Linked DNA regions of Ovis aries. The protein of the gene in region 1 interacts with the protein of each later gene in a pairwise test. Links are inferred from orthologs where the notes say so. Each region holds a gene or a part of one and is shown in the gene's direction. Other genes may lie near its edges. The genes, in order: TFCP2, ZCCHC10, carbonic anhydrase 1 and CDC73.

The links.
Region 2: the proteins of TFCP2 (region 1) and ZCCHC10 interact in binary tests that used the Homo sapiens proteins (3 or more experiments, as listed by UniProt). The two-hybrid records come from large-scale screens. The link is inferred for Ovis aries from reciprocal best matches to the Homo sapiens genes TFCP2 and ZCCHC10.
Region 3: the proteins of TFCP2 (region 1) and carbonic anhydrase 1 interact in binary tests that used the Homo sapiens proteins (3 or more experiments, as listed by UniProt). The two-hybrid records come from large-scale screens. The link is inferred for Ovis aries from reciprocal best matches to the Homo sapiens genes TFCP2 and CA1.
Region 4: the proteins of TFCP2 (region 1) and CDC73 interact in binary tests that used the Homo sapiens proteins (3 or more experiments, as listed by UniProt). The two-hybrid records come from large-scale screens. The link is inferred for Ovis aries from reciprocal best matches to the Homo sapiens genes TFCP2 and CDC73.

Annotation. Positions count from the first base shown.
Region 1 is NC_056056.1:135,083,911-135,087,474, forward strand, and holds part of TFCP2 (alpha-globin transcription factor CP2), read left to right. Parts: coding exon 1-37; intron 38-1,504; coding exon 1,505-1,611; intron 1,612-2,671; coding exon 2,672-2,824; intron 2,825-3,538; coding exon 3,539-3,564.
Region 2 is NC_056058.1:42,241,045-42,245,391, reverse strand, and holds the start of ZCCHC10 (zinc finger CCHC domain-containing protein 10), read left to right. Parts: upstream 1-1,495; 5' UTR 1,496-1,507; coding exon 1,508-1,548; intron 1,549-4,347.
Region 3 is NC_056062.1:90,095,968-90,100,101, forward strand, and holds the start of carbonic anhydrase 1, read left to right. Parts: upstream 1-1,307; 5' UTR 1,308-1,386; coding exon 1,387-1,423; intron 1,424-1,912; coding exon 1,913-2,110; intron 2,111-3,570; coding exon 3,571-3,689; intron 3,690-4,134. UniProt on the Homo sapiens protein: Catalyzes the reversible hydration of carbon dioxide. Can hydrate cyanamide to urea.
Region 4 is NC_056065.1:11,318,944-11,323,000, reverse strand, and holds the start of CDC73 (parafibromin), read left to right. Parts: upstream 1-1,203; 5' UTR 1,204-1,426; coding exon 1,427-1,557; intron 1,558-4,057.

The DNA of each region.
Region 1 (3,564 bases):
AGGTGGAACCGACCTGGAGATAGAATTCTTGACATAGGTAAGTTAAGAGAATCCATTGCTTAGGAAGTGCCTTTAACTATGGTCTGTGAATTGGTTTTCTTTACTTGACATTTGCCTTGACTCAAAATGCTCCAGGGGCTCAATTAACATGAACTAAGCATAAAATATTACTGGTGTAATGATTTCAGAATTCAAGTTGAAAGTGTAGAGACTTCAGTTCTGTAACAACTGCATCCGTTACTAAAAAGTGCTTTTTGTTTTTTGTTTTTTAATTTAGTTGTGGTAAAATATACATAACGTAAAATTTACTGTTTTAACCATTTTTAAGTATACAATTCAGTTGCATTAAGTACATGCCCATTGTTGCACAAACCATCACTACCATCCATCTCTAGAATTTTTTTCGTCTCGCAAAAGTGAAATTCTGTACCCAGGAAACAACAATTTCCCATTCCTTCCTCTCCCCAGCCCCTGGCAACCACCATTCTACTTCTTATCTGTATGAATTTAACTGCTGTAGGTACCTCATATAAATGAAATCATTATTTGTCTTTTTGTGCCTGGGATATTTCAGTCAGCGTAAATAAACCTCAAGATTCATACATATAGTGGCATGTGTTACAGTTTCCTTCTCTTTGGGAACGCTTATACACTGTTGTGGAAATTAAGTTGGTATAGCCACTGTGGAAAACAGTATGGAGGTTTTTCAGAAAGCTAAAAATAGAACTATCATATGACCTAACATTTCCACTCCTGGATATATATCCAAAAGAGCCCAAAACACCAATTCAAAAAGATACACGCACCACAACGTTCATAGCAGCATTATTCACAGTTGCCAAGATGTGCACACACCCTAAGTGTCCATCAACAGTTAAATGGATAAAGAAGATGTGAGACACACATACACATACATACACACACAAATACACATCCAAGCTCTATAGCGTTAGCCTCTCTTCGTGAATATGCTTTTAGTTCTGGCATCTGTCCTTGATCTCTTATTGGTTATTATCTCCTAATGGTAAACATGGTTGCTAAACAGACCTAAGTATTACTAATTTTATCTGAGAAAACACTGGTTCTCCTACGGATATCTTGATATCCATTTGATAAACTGACTTTAGGATAAATCCAACACAGCTAATAGTGTGGAGTGGGACCCACTTAATGCTTTCTTGTTTGAATCATTGATATTAAAACAGTTGAGAAGTTATAGCACAGTTATAGTAACAAATATTATCTGGCCTTATCCCTCAATTTGAATTATTAATAGCAGTCTTATTTTTAAAACTTTTTAAAGTGGAAAAAAGATGTTCAAAGGAAAGTACTTAGGTCAATTTTAGCTCTAATTGAACTCTTTTTTGGCAAAAAAAAAAAAAAAGTTTAGGGTATGATACACAAAAATCTTGGTAATTCAGGACCAATGATAGAAGAATCGGTGCTTTCTTATTTAAACCCAGTAGCACCCAGAATTGTTCAATGATCACCATTTATTTCTCAGATATCCCAATGTCTGTGGGTATAATCGATCCTAGGGCTAACCCAAACCAACTAAACACAGTGGAGTTCCTGTGGGACCCTGCGAAAAGGACGTCTGTGTTTATTCAGGTAAGATGCTGTGGACAGGGCTCCAGTTTTGAAAAGGATTCAGGTAAGACACTGTGGACAGGGCTTCAGTTTTGAAAAAGATACCTTACCACGAGTTTGGTCCTTAAAGGATAAAAACGTATTGAATTTGAAATCTTTCCGGGTTGCAACCTGTAAACTTCTAAACAAATGCAGACATCTCAACATGTGAAAGCAAAGAGAAGTTTCTGAGTTGCTCTTCTAATTTCCCCAATTTATTTATTTGTTTCTCTCAAAAATACTTGCTAATGCATGCATTATATTTTATTCTTGAGATAAACTTATCTAACAGTTGTCTAGCATTGAGATTATCCTCATTTTTCAGTACTACCAAAGAAGTTATTTTGAACATCTTCATAATTAGAATTTGATTTGCATATCTGATTATGTCCTTTGGGTAGACTGCCTGAAAACTCATACTTGTAATAATGATAGCCAGTAGTTGACTGAGTGCTTCTCATCAGATAGTCACTGTGTTAACACTTTTTACCCATGATTTTAAGACTTTCAACAAGAATCCTGTGGAGTAAGAATATTCCTTGAGTCTTAGATAAGTTAATAACTTACCCAGGCTAGTATTTGGTCAACCAGGGCTCCACTATGACGATTTGTCAAGATCTTGAACTTTATATGCAGTAGCCTAGCAAACAGTTTTCTTCCTATTGCTCGTGAGCTTTCATATTTACTATTCTCCCAGCATGGATGGTGCCTCTGTTTTCTAAAATCTACCGTAAATTTCAGGAAAGTTTCATTAACAGAAATCATTTCTCTTCTATGTTAACTCTGTCTTTTCTGAAATAATTAATGAATTCCTCAGAGCAGCTTTTTGTTAACATTAGACCTGTACATTTATTTTGTTTGCGTTTGTAAATCATTGAAGTTTTCCTCATTTCCTCATGAGAGTGTAAACTCTTCATGATCAGAAAGAGAGTGTAAGGTTATCTTGTAGGTGTTTAAAGGTTTTGCTGTTGCCCTAAAATGTTGCTGACCGGTTTGGCTCCTAATAGAACTGAAACCTGGCTGGATGGTGTATTCTTTTCAGGTGCATTGTATTAGCACAGAGTTTACCATGAGGAAACATGGTGGTGAGAAGGGAGTGCCATTTCGAGTACAAATTGATACCTTCAAGGAGAATGAGAGCGGGGAGTATACTGAGCACTTACACTCAGCCAGCTGCCAGATCAAAGTCTTCAAGGTATTCCTGGGCTTTGCGCTGGTCCTTGGACTTTTTTTCCTTGTCTTTCATTTGCAACATTAGTCACCAAGTGAGAAAGTCAGCTTGTCTCTTTTCCAAAACTATGAAAGCCCAGCCTAAATTAGAGTTACTGAAATAAGTACTGAGCTGCCCAGTGAAGAAGTTTAAATAGGGATGGTGGGAGAAGGGGAACTTGGAAAAGGGATCATAGGGATATCATGTGGATAAATATCTTCTCATTGCAAGATTCATTAACATGAAAGTATTTGGAGCATGACATGAAGTCCCCCTTTAGCACTCTTGCCCTGACCCCCAACCCCTCCCCAGAGGTAACCAGTCTCAGTAAGTTCATATGTATTCTTATTCACTTCTAATTCACTTATGTACACATGTACATAGATATACACATATTTTCCTTTCTTTGAAACATAAACAGAATTGTATTGTATGAATTGCTTTGAAGCTTGCTTTTTTCATAACTTAACTATGTGCTTTAGAGATTTTTTCATGTCTGAAGCTATAGATGTCGTACTCGCCTTCAATTCTATTACACATTTAAGTATCCCATTTTCAGACTTAGATTTAATGATGGCTCTGTCTTTACCTCATTGTATATACCTTTTTGTTTCACAAGTGATTATTCTAAGTTTGTAGAAGTAATGTTGAATCGAAGGGTAAGTACTTGAGTTTAAAATGGAATATTTCTCCTTTCAGCCCAAAGGTGCAGACAGAAAACAAAA
Region 2 (4,347 bases), on another chromosome or scaffold:
ATTGAAGGCAGGAGGAGAAGGGGACGACAGAGGATGAGATGGTTGGATGGCATCACTGACTCAATGGACATGAGCTTGAGTAAACTCCAGGAGTTGGTGATGGACAGCGAGGCCTGATGTGCTGCAGTCCATGGGGTTGCAAAGAGTCAGACATGATTGAGCGACTGAACTGAACTGAACAGAGGAACTAAGATCCTACATGCCTGGAAGCAACTAAGTCAGAACTTTGCAACTATTGAGCCCTAGTGCTGCAACTAGAGAGTCCATGTACTGCCACGAAAGATCCTACATGATGCAACTATCACCCAATGCAGTCTAATTAATTAATTGAAAAGGTATGTATGTTTCAAACATCATGCATTTAAGGGAATACATTTCCATGATCTGATACTAAATGCTAAAATATCCTTAAATAATTAATATTTGTATAATTTTTTTCTAGTTGACAAAGCAGTTTTACCTGTATAACCTTCTAACATCACTATTAATAAAAATATGATTATGTATGTAACATAAGTAATTAACATATATGTACACTTCATAGTTTGCTAAAGTCACTCTTTTTAATCATTGTATTTCTTTAGTTTTGTCTGTGCTGGATCTTCATTGCCGTGCATGAGCTTTCTCTCCTTGCAGCGAGCAGGGGCTTCTCTTGTTGCGGGGCACAGGCTCTACGGCACTCGGGCTTCAGCAGTAGGGGCAAACAGTCTCCATAGTTGCAGCTCCTAGGTTCTAGAGCACAGGCTCAATAGTTGCAGCACATGGGCTTAGCTGCTCTGCCGTCTGTGGAATCTTCTCCCATCAGGGATCAAACACGTGTCTCCTGCCTTGGCATGTGGATTCTTTACCACTGAGCCACCAGGGAAGCCCCAGCCTTTTTCAACTGATAGTCAATCTTGTTCAAATTATTACTTTAAACTTTGCTATCCAGACTACTTCTGGTTTCTGAAAACTACAGTGGGGCTTCCCTGGTGATTCAGACTGTAAAGAATCTGCCTGTAATAACGGAGACCTGGGTTTGATCCCTGGGTTGGGAAGATCCCCTGGAGAAGGGAATGATTACCTAGTCCAGGATTCTTGCCTGGAGAATTTCATGAACAGAGGAGCCTGGTGGGCTACAATTCATAAGGTCCCAAAAGAGTCAGACGCGACTAAGCAATTAACTTTATTCGTTCATGTATATAAAAATGGATTTGTATATAAAGATGGATAGATAGATCCCTCATTCTACAATGTTCTTCCCAGCTTCTCCAAGCAATATAAGTGGACTCGTCCTTCAGAACCCTTGTTCAGATTAGTCAGTTGGCCTCATTCCTCTCCCTCCGACTATAGACTATGCAGGTAACACAACACACCAGGCCCCAACCCACTATTGCCCGAAAAGCAGCGCCAGAGCCTAGCCAGGACCACTGGCTCCGCCCACGCCTACGCCCTTCAGGGTTCGAAGTCCCCGCCCACTTCGAGGAGTTTCCCAAAACCCAGCGCGGCCGTCGCCAGCCGCGCTAAGATGGCGACTCCCATGCATCGTCTCATAGCCCGGAGACAAGCGTAAGTTAGGACCGGAGTTGGGCGGCGGGGCGGGCTGGGGGCGGAGAGAAGCGCGTCAGCGGGCTATTGAGCGGTGCCGGGAAGCGGGGTTGGTGTCGGATCCTCAGCTTGGCCTGGCGGAGGGTGGCCGTTTTTCTTACACGTCGCCTGCCCACAAGGGGCTCGGGCCGGAGCGAGAAGTTTGATGTCTGTGCACTAGCGATTTCGTGGAAGACGGCTGCGTAAGGCCACTGGGCGGGACCTAGGGGTGACTGAAGAGAGTCTCGCGTTTGGTTCCCGCGAAGGGGACGTCCAGGAATTGGTTACTAAGTGATTTATGCCGATTTGCCCAACCCAGCCGGTGGGCAGCGGTGGGCGCACCCCAGAGTGACCAGGCGAAGCTTGTAGCCCGCATCCAACACCCCTTATTCTCGCCGACGTAAACCTTCAGCTTCCTGTTCAACCTCCAGGCCAGCTGGCTTTTCCTGCCCCATTGTAATCGCCTTACCTAGGAACAGCCTGACTTTTCTCCCAAGCTATCTTCTCACATTCTGCCATTCATTCTCTAAGAGATACTTTGGGTGTAAGAAAATGTTCAAGACAGAATATTTGCTTTCAGGAAGCTTACATTCTGTTGGTGGAAAGAGTCAATAAACTAAACATTTTAAGTAAATGCAGTTGGATAGTAAGAGCTTTGAAGGAAATGAGATGGTGGAAAAAGAGAACGGTCCAGGTTAGGTTGGTTGGACTGGAAAGGCATCTCTGAAGAGGTGGGGTTTGAACAGAGATGGAAAGTGTGAGAAAGGAGTCAGTCGTGAGAGGATTGGGGGAAAGAGCATCCAGAACAGCATAATTAATTTGAGACAGGAGAGAACTTAGTTTCTAAGAACTGAAAGATGTCCATTGTGGCGGCTAATGAGCGAGAGAAAGGCACGAGAGTGTGAACAGATAATGCAGGAGTTCGTGTCATATGCCCCTTTCTTGTACAGCCTTTTTTTTTCTTCTACCAATCTGCACACCCAACCAACATTCACCACTTATTCACTCTCAGCTTTTCATGCCATCACTGTTTGCCTGTTTATAATACATCACTTAGTCTGCTGCAGTGTGTATATTTGTATTCCTTTTTGTATTTATAGTTTTTTTTTTTTTTAGTTTTTTTTATTCTAAGAGTCCTGATCCTTTTCTTCAATCTTTGATCAGACTCTGCCCCTCATGCTGGATGAAAAGAGTTCCTTGATCATAAAGATAAAGACTTACAGAATCAGAGTGAAGTAGTAGTATGCTTGGTGGAGGAAGAAGGCTTTTCCAAGATGGTTCTGAGATCTAGAATGAAGTAACAGTTCTACTTAAATAGATATCCACTTAAATGGTGTTACCAGGGTCTAATGTCTCTCAGATTTGCTCTTTTGGATGTTGGTTCCATACTTGGATAGATCACTCCTTTGGTCCTAAAATGGCTGCAGTATCTAGAGTCCTTTGTATCCTGTCAGCTTCAAGCTGATAGCATCTCATTGTCTAGACTGGATTACATGCCCTACCCTAAACCATGTCTGTGGGAATATGAAGTTCTGATTAATTTGGATCTCATTCTCTTCCCTTGTGGCTCAGCTGGTAAAGAATCCGCCTGCAACACAGGAGACCCCAGTTCGATTCCTGGGTTCAGAAGATCCCCTGGAGAAGGGAAAGGCTACCCACTCCAGTATTTTGGCCTGGAGAATTCCATGGACTGTATAGTCTATGGGGTCCCAAGGAGTGGGACACGATTGAGACACTTTCACTTTCATTTTCTCTTCCCAGCATAATTGAATGGGTCTTTATAAACAGTGGGTGGATAGGTCAGAGGACGTGATGATGGCTAGATTGACTAAATCAAACAGTGTCCACTTTTGAAAGTAAAACTTTTAATGCTTTTAGCATAAGTTTTAGAGTATCACAGAGTTAAACAAATGTTCCATTTCTTCAGTATGCTTGTATTCAGTACATGAGCTACCTAGGAGTAAAAAACAAAGCTTTAGGAGCTTCTGGTCTCAACTGGGAGGAAAACATGGTGTGTAACAAAACCTGTCATGGTTTAAAGGCTGTCAGGACAACTCCCAGGGAGTTGGAGACCGAGGGCCATTAGAGGCAAGGAAAGTGCAGGAAAATTTGGGGAATATTTTGGGATAGAAAGTAAAAGAGGAGCTTTTGCTTTTTATTTTATATTCATCAAAATGATTTGTTTATAAAGAGCAGATAGCGCTTCCATAAGAACAATTTTTAAGCTACAAGTTATGAGAAGTGAGAAAGTACTATTGACATTGTTTTTAAAAGTTTTTGGACCAAAGGAGGAAAGGGGGAAAATTTGAATTTCCCATTCAGCAGATCTTTTAGGAACTTAACTCTGAATCAGATTTAACTCAAACACAATTGTATGCAGAATGACAAGAGGAGAACTGATGCCCAGGAGACTAGAGGAGTGGGTATTAGAGCCCTAAGCCACTCTGAATGTGTTTAAGGCACTTGACCCAGGTGATTTCGTCCCCAACATAACAGAAAATTTCCAAGTGAAATGGCTGTAGCTGCTGGTAATCTGAGGACTTCTGGCCAACAGGAGTGACGCTAAAGGACTAGAAGTAGGCAAATGTTTTGATTTTCAAAGTGAGAAGGGTAGATTCCACAAACTAGACTTGTGAATTTGATATCCATTCCAGGCAAAATTCTGGCTGGATATATTAAATCTGTTCAGAAGTAAAAGCCAAGTTCATCAGGTATCAAATCATTACAGATTGATACCCTTATTGCCTTTTTTAAGTATTTGGATTTCAATGCGGCATCTTG
Region 3 (4,134 bases), on another chromosome or scaffold:
GTGGAGAATCCCAGGAACAGAGGAGCCTGGGGGGCTGCCGTCTATGAGATCGCACAGAGTCGGACACGATTGAAGTGACTTAGCAGCAGCAGCAGCAGCAGGAGCAGCAGTGGTAAAGAATTCACCTGCCAGTGTAGAAGATGCAAGAGACACAGGTTCAACCCCTCGGCCAGGAAGATCCCCTGGAGTTGGAAATGGCAACGCACTCCAGTATTCTTGCCCAGAAAAATTCCATGGACGGAGGAGCCTGGTGGGCTACAGTCCACAGGGTTGCAAAGAGTCAGACATGCCGGACCGCACATACAATGATTTTTTGAGTGCATGAATGAGCACACACAAATCAAAGCTGGCAGCCAGTGAGGCAACAGGGAAGGGCGGGAGTGGGCTACAGTCCAGGGGGTTGCAAAGAGTCAGGCACGACTGTGCTCACACAGAAGACAAATCTCCATTTGTGAATTCCAATACTGCTTCAAAACGAGGACCTTTAGTCTCATCTTGTATGTCTTTGAAATGTACTGTCATGAATAATATATTGAGTTGCCAAAAAGTTTGTGTTTTTCCCTAAGATCTTACAATATACTACCAACTGCAAACCCAATGTATTCCAAATGATTAGTGATTCTCTTATCTGATTTTAAATTAACATCAGGACATTGGTCTGATCTGCCTGTAAATATGCAAATTTTTCTCCTGACTGAATTACTGTTGCTACTCCAGTACTCTTGCTTGGAAAATCCCATGGACGGAGGAGCCTGGTGGGCTGCAGTCCATGGCGTCACTGAGAGTCGGACATAACTGAGCAACTTCACTTTCACTTTCATGCATTGGAGAAGGAAATGGCAACCCACTCCAGTGTTCTTGCCTGGAGAATCCCAGGGACGAGGGAGCCTGGTGGGCTGCCATCTATGGGGTCACACAGAGTCGTACATGATGGAAGTGACTTAGCAGCAGCACTATTGCTTAAGTGTCCAGCAAGGGTAAAAGCTGGGAGTCTCAAATGCACAGTCCTTTGTAACTAGATATTCAAAGCATCAGGTGTGATAACTCAGCCATATCTTCTACTAACATGAGAATAACAGGGCTTGGTTTTGCAGAAGCCAAGATTTTGAAATTTCTCTGCAACAGTATAAGAGAATAAACCAACTGGAACTGCCCTTACCTTTGTGAGCTTTTTAAACAATACCTTTTTTTAGCATGCATATACTTCCTGATAGATAAAGATGATGAAATAGCGGGCTGAGTGAGTAACACTCATGCACAGGGGCAGAGACGTTTCTATAAAAACCCTGCGAACTGTGGATTCAGTCATCTATTGCACGTTCAGTGACAGTCAGTTATTCCAGGTATTCTCTTTGTGTTCAGAAAAAGAAAACTAAGTAGAAGATCATGGCAAGTCCTGACTGGGGATATGATGGTGAAAACGGTAAGCATTCTTCTGCTCATGTAGCTCAAATAACGGCTTGTTCCCTTTTCCAGAAAAGGAGATATTGAGCACTTAAAATAACGGTAAAGTCATAGGTTAATGGTTTGAAGTGCCTTTGACTTATACCAGCTTTGCATGCATTCTCAACAGTTGTCCTTTGGGCCATGATTGTCTACAGAATGTATTCTGCCTCTTTTCTCCTCTCTCCCTCTCAGCCTCTCTCCCTCCCTATGTACAGAGAGGTCTATTGCTAACAGCAAAATATGTATAGTCTGATCCCATAGACTATGAGTATATTAACTCTGTTGACAAAGACTCTATTTTACAGTGTAGCATAGGAAAGGGGCATTCTCAAACCTTGGATTTCCATTAAGCTAACCAGAATACCGTTTCAGATACCTGAATAAATCCTAGCCTAGGAAAATTACATTCCTAAAACCTGGAGTCAAGCATTAGATCAGTTTTGGTTTAATCACGTTTTCCTGGTAGGTCCTGAACACTGGTGCAAGCTGCATCCCATTGCAAATGGAAATAACCAGTCTCCTATCGACATTAAAACCAGTGAAACCAAGCGTGATCCCTCTCTGAAACCTCTCAGTATCTCCTACAATCCAGCCACCGCCAAAGAAATCGTCAACGTGGGACATTCCTTCCATGTAAACTTTGAGGACAGTGATAATAGATCAGGTGAGCCAAACGACCCTCCTGATTTCTGTCTTTGACTTGCTGGGAAATTTAAACAGTAGGGCTTGCAGAACACGGACACCCATGTTCAGTGTTTGGCGCACATGTGTAGCATTGACGCCATCTACTGAGGTGCCTTGAAGTCTTAAAACATTTCCAAGTGTTAAGGATGATTCTGGGGTCCCAGCTCGCTCTTCTTTCAGCCCTTCTCCTTCTCAGTGACTCTATTTCATCTTCTTCTGGTTTCCAATGTCTTTATGCTAACTTTACAGCCTCTGAATAAACAGTCCTTTTCCACAAAATTCTGTGAACCATCATGAATATAAACACTGAAAAGGCAAATATTTTCTAACTGAGATGAGGTTGGAGGAGCGCATTAGGGAAGATACACATGAAGAGTTTATTTATTTTTTTGCGGCCAGGAAAATGGCTCGATACCAATGAAGTGCTTCAGTTCAGCTGAGTTCAGTTGCTCAGTCGTGTCCAACTCTTTGCAGCCCCATGAATCGCAGCATGCCAGGCCTCCCTGTCCATCACCAGCTTGTGAAGTGCTTGGGTACCAGTAAAAAAAAAAAAAAAAATACTGGTCTTGGGTGTATCTTGCATGGAATCATTCTGTGCATAAGTATTTTTGTCTAGCTTCCCCTCTCCCTATTAGATCATAGTAACTGAATTATCTTCATCTCCCAGAATCTAGCACACTTCCTTGTTCACAGGAAAATTCTCAAAACTGTTTACTGAATAATTACTAAATAGCCGTTTCAAAAATCAGCTCTACTGTCAAAAGGCAAAATTAGTCATAGCACGTTCCTGCAAGGTTCGGAGCCTAAATTTCAGACATCTTGGGGCTATGTCCTTTGTTAATATTGGATTAAGTCTGGTACTGTGTGTGTTTTATTAATCATATGGTTGGATAAGCTCTCTAAAGGAAAATGACACTTCAGTATGAGAATTTTAAAATTGACCCTACCCTCCTACTGGAACTTTTTTTCATCCCTTGCTAGGAATTCTCAGCAAAGCTGTCAGAATACCCTCTTGTATCTTGATAGTTACAAGATATGTGCAGAGTGATTGTTACTGAAAACAAATTGCTAGATATCTTAATGCATGCTGTCCATTACTGTCTGTTGAAAGAATGAATGAACTTATAAACTAAAGCAGGTTCAAGGAAAGACCTCTCGTCCTATAATTCACTCATCTTCCAATATGTTTTCCTGAAAACAGGAAAAGATAAAATTATAGCCCATGTGCTGGGAACCGTATAAGTCACGCACAATCTTAAGGTGCGGCACACATCTGAGCCCATCATTGTGGGCATGGGGAAAGACCAACAGGATGGGAACTTTGGACTAGGGTTAATTTTCATTACTACTCGACCCAATTTAATGCTAATTTGTATTCAATGCAAAGATAAGCGGGAGCTCATGACTGTAACACTAATAGCACTTTCCTTTTTCTCCTAGTGCTGAAAGGTGGTCCTCTATCTGAAAGCTACAGGCTGCGTCAGTTCCATTTTCACTGGGGCAGCACCGATGAGTGTGGCTCTGAGCACTTAGTGGATGGAGCCACATTTTCTGCAGAGGTAATGCAGCTGAGTGAGTGAGAGGAGCTACGCCGAGAGTCCTCCCAGAAGTAGCCCGCTCATAACACGGTGGTGTGTGTTAGTCGCTCAGTCATGTCCAGTGCTTTGTGACCCCGGGGACTGTAGCCCGCCAGGCTCCTCTGTCCATGGGATTCTCCAGGCAAGACTACTGGAGTGGGTAGCCTATCCCTTCTCTAAGGGATCTTCCCCACTCAGGGATCAAACCAGGGTCCCTTGCATTGCAGGCAGATTCTTTACCTGTCTGAACCACCAGGGAAGCCCCCCTTATCACTTAGGACACAATTTCAACAGCTCCAAAGGAATGAGCATTTTTCGGTCTGTAAAGAATTCCTAGGCTCCATTAAACTTAAACGGTGACACATTGTGTTTGGCAATGGAGGACAATTTTTCACGTGAGGGAGGCAGGTGAATTTGCAGTCAAACT
Region 4 (4,057 bases), on another chromosome or scaffold:
AAATAGAGTAGATAGTACTGGGGATAAATAAAAAGGTTATTTTTAACATGTTTGGGGTGAAGTTTAGGAAAATTTACAGAATAGTCAAAATTTCTCAAATTCAGCTGCAAAATGGCTGAAGAGTGAATACAGAAAAGTGAACCACATTCTACAGATCTCTCTGCAGTGCACATAACGAAAATTGCTTTCTTTCAAATCGGGTAAAAGAATTTGGTTATGTCAATCACAAAGTCGACTTTTTTCCTTTTCTGCTATAGTAAGACATTTTTAAAAAATGGCCCATGGGATATGTTTAAGGTAGACATGCCACAGTAAACTGAATTTATATCAATAAACTGAGCTTGTGTTCTCTAACTCTCCTATTAGCATCTCGGAAGACAGCTATTAAACTGTAGCCCCTTGAGGCTGGCCAGGAGAAGGGGACAAGAAGGAAAAAGCCACCATCTAAGGAACTGAGAAGGGGAAGATCCAATATTTATGATTTTTTGATTTGCCTGATGCTTTTAGCTTCCATGTTCTCCATTAACCAATTGATTCTGTGAGAAGGTGTGTAACTTGACTGAGGTCAAAAGGCAGCTAACAAACACCAGTGCCCCGGCATTGATCTTTGGCCTAGGCGAGCCCACTAAAAACACAAAATAAAAAATAACCCCCAAAGCAACATCTTTCCCCAAACACCTTTCCCTTCTACAGGGGTTTATCAAGAGGCCATTTGTTAGGTGGGTCCAACCTCGTCGGGACGGCAACCTTGGCTCTGCAAACCTCTCACCAGGCTGCAGCCTGGTTAAAGGAGAGACCACACTGCACTGGCCAGCGGCCAACACTGCGGGCCCGTCGAGGAGCACCCATTGCGCGCTCTGGGAACTGACGTCCCAGATTCCCCGCGCAGGTGCGCGCGCACCTGTCGCCTGCCGCGTGCGCGCTGCGCGTGGTGGGGCGAGTCGGGGGCGGGGGAAAGGAGGATGAGGTCCGTGCTCCCGCGCGTGCGCCGGGCAAGGCTCCCCCGTACGTGCGCCGTACGTGGGCGCTGCGTCCCCGCGCCCTATGAGTTGCGGGCCGGGAGTCGGCCCCGCGCGCCAAGTGGGAGTCTGGGAGGGGCGTTTCCCGGGCGGGCGCGGCGCCCCCTGGCGGCGGGCGGCGGCGGCGGCGGCGCGCGCGGTCAGGCGTTCTCCGCGGGCAGCCCGCGGCGGGGCCTTGCCTCCTAGCGCGGGGTCCTCGGCGGCCTGGGTGGCTCCTTCCCCCGCTGCTGTCGTAGGCGCGGACGGCTGCCAGTGCGACTGCAGTTGGCTCGCGGCGGCGGCGGCGGCGGCGGCGGCGGCCGAGGCAGAGGGGCGGGGGGTGGGGGGGCTGAGGCGACAGGCGAAAGGGGCGGCGGGCGCGGCGGCGGCGGCGGGGCCCGGGGCCGGCGGCGGCGAGGGGGGCGAAGATGGCGGACGTGCTCAGCGTCCTGCGACAGTACAACATCCAGAAGAAGGAGATTGTGGTGAAAGGGGACGAAGTGATCTTCGGCGAGTTCTCCTGGCCCAAGAACGTGAAGACCAACTATGTGGTTTGGGGGTGAGTCTGTTGCGGCGGGGGGCAGGGCTGGGCGCCCCGGGGTCCCCCTCTCTCTCTCCCCGAACCCCTCCCCCCCGCTCCCCTTGCGGGTTGAGGAAAACGGGTGCTCCGGGGAAAAGTTTTCCCGGGAGCAGAAGTTGCAGCTCGTCTGTGAGGAGGGCGCGGGAGGAGCGGCGTTCGGAGGGGTCCCTCCTCCGCGGCTCCGTGTGGAGGTCTCTGCCCCTGTGTGTGGAGAGCCGGCCGGGTGCATAGGTGCATATAAAGGAGCGCCCCGCCGGGTCCTCGGGCGGCTCTTTTTGTCCTTTAGTTGTTGTTTTTTAAAATCTCTCTCGGAGGCTCTTCTGCGATGGTCTCTGCTGGCCCTTTGCAGCTCCTGGTCGGTTCCGTCTCCTTTCGCGATTCCCTCAAGCAGAGAGAGAAGGGAACCCACTCCGTCAGGTTAGGACGGGTAAGATTTCGGCGACCTGGGACAAGTCGTCGGAATCTGTTGGAGGTGAAGGCAGGGGTCTCCCTCAGGGAGAAAGTTCCTGCTGAAATGAAGTCAACTTTGCCATTCTAAGTGGGGAACGAATAGAGTGTGCGATTGTGTGGGAAATGTGTGTGAAGAGTGTGTGTCTGGGAATGTTGATCCCAGTGAGGGTTGCCCGAGTGTAAGTCCTTAAGGAAGACACCCGAAGGGAGATCTGAAACCTACACGGGAAAAGTATCTGAAAAAGAATAGATATATGCATATGTATTTCAAAAGAAAAATAGGTCTGATCATCATGAGGGGCTTTTTGAGTGAACCCTTCCTCTCTCAGTGGCGTTTCATTTGGATAGCTAGAGCCCTAGACGAAAACTTTCATACTTATTTTGCTTGATTGAATGGGAGCAGTGGGCTTTAGGAAGAGTTGATGAAAAGCTAGGGGAAGTTTAGTTCCTTGGGTTTTATTTATTTAATTTTTTTGGCATCTTGGGCTGCTTATGGTTTAATTAGCTTTGTGCAGATGGGTAAAATCATTCTGAGTTTTCTGGTTTTTTTTTTTTTTTTTCCTTTCAAAAGGAACTTGCACAGGCAGATTTACATTTTAAAAACAAATTAACAGCTTATGTGATGAAAAGTCTATTTGATTTGGGGAGTAACAAGCTGGAAGAGGTTAGGAGTCCTCTGCCCCACACATTGTGTAGGAGCTCAGCGCTGATTGGATTTTTAACTGATTGGTTTTTCTTTAAAAAATGGTTGAGTATTCACAGTGTAAGGCTGTTCAGTCCCAGAACTGGAAAATATTTTGAAAACCTAGGTCGGTGCCTCAAAGGAGGTTATCTCAATCAGAGTGGAAGAGATGACACATAACTTGATAAGAATCGAATTCCAGTTCCTAAAGAGAGCAATCACTTCTAACTTGGAAAGTTTTCATAGAAGTGTGTTTGGCCTATGGACATGCTAGGTTTTTCTTGAATAAATGAATGAACAAATGTTAAGGAGTGGATAGGAATTCTGAGGGCGAAGTAGTGGGCTAGGTCTTTCCAGCTGAGGGAATGGCATGCTTAAAGACCTGAGAGCTGGAAAGGAAATGTTTTGATAGCTGAGTGAAGCCAGTAGTAAGAAAAGAGTGCTTACAACAGTAGATTTCAAACTTTTGCAGCAGTGAATCACACCAGTACATGTATTTTGATTGAGTGTTATTCTCTGTGTTTAGGGAAATGCACACATATGCATGACATTAATATTTACCCTTACTGAATGCAGTGCATCCTGTTGTTTTTTTTTTTAATATATCACGATATCACGAAGAGATACAGCTTGTTACTCATGTATTATCTACTTCATAATACAGTGATTGATAAGTGATATGTGGTTTGAAGTATATTGATTTAGGGAAAAAGTGGAAATACAGCCTAGAAAAATAATTGGGACTGATTATATTGGGCCATATTCAGATGAATTTAAACAATACGTTGATATTTCTAGATGGGGAGAATGTAATAGGACAGTGGGATTGGACACTAACATTTGTTGAGCAAGTAGTAGTATGTATTTGCATGAAAGGGCTTGCACTCCTGGATGACTGTTTTATCACAGGTAGAATTAGTTTTGGTTTTACATCACTAGTTTAATTTGAGAGAAGTCATAAGAATCATATCTCTGAAGTTAATTGTAGTGTTAAAGAATGTTGGTAAGGGTGTTTTCTCAGCAGAATCTTACTTAGAAGACATGATAAGTTTCTTGTAAGTTTAGCCTAAGTGACTAGTATGCTTCTTTTAATCAGTTTGTTTCTCTTATGGATCCTTCCTAACTGATTAGGTTTCTCTATTAACAAAGCCCAGAAGCTAATTTGGACCAAATTCTAAGAAGTCTGTAGTAATAAAGTTTGAATAGTACTTTCCTTACCTCTTGCTTTTTGTCATTGTTTGCATTTGTGTGCCCAAATGACATTTTCACTTATTAGATTTCATGCTCTTAAGAATATTTTTCTTTGGATAGCACCGTGTGTGTAGATAATGCTATATGATTAAGCTC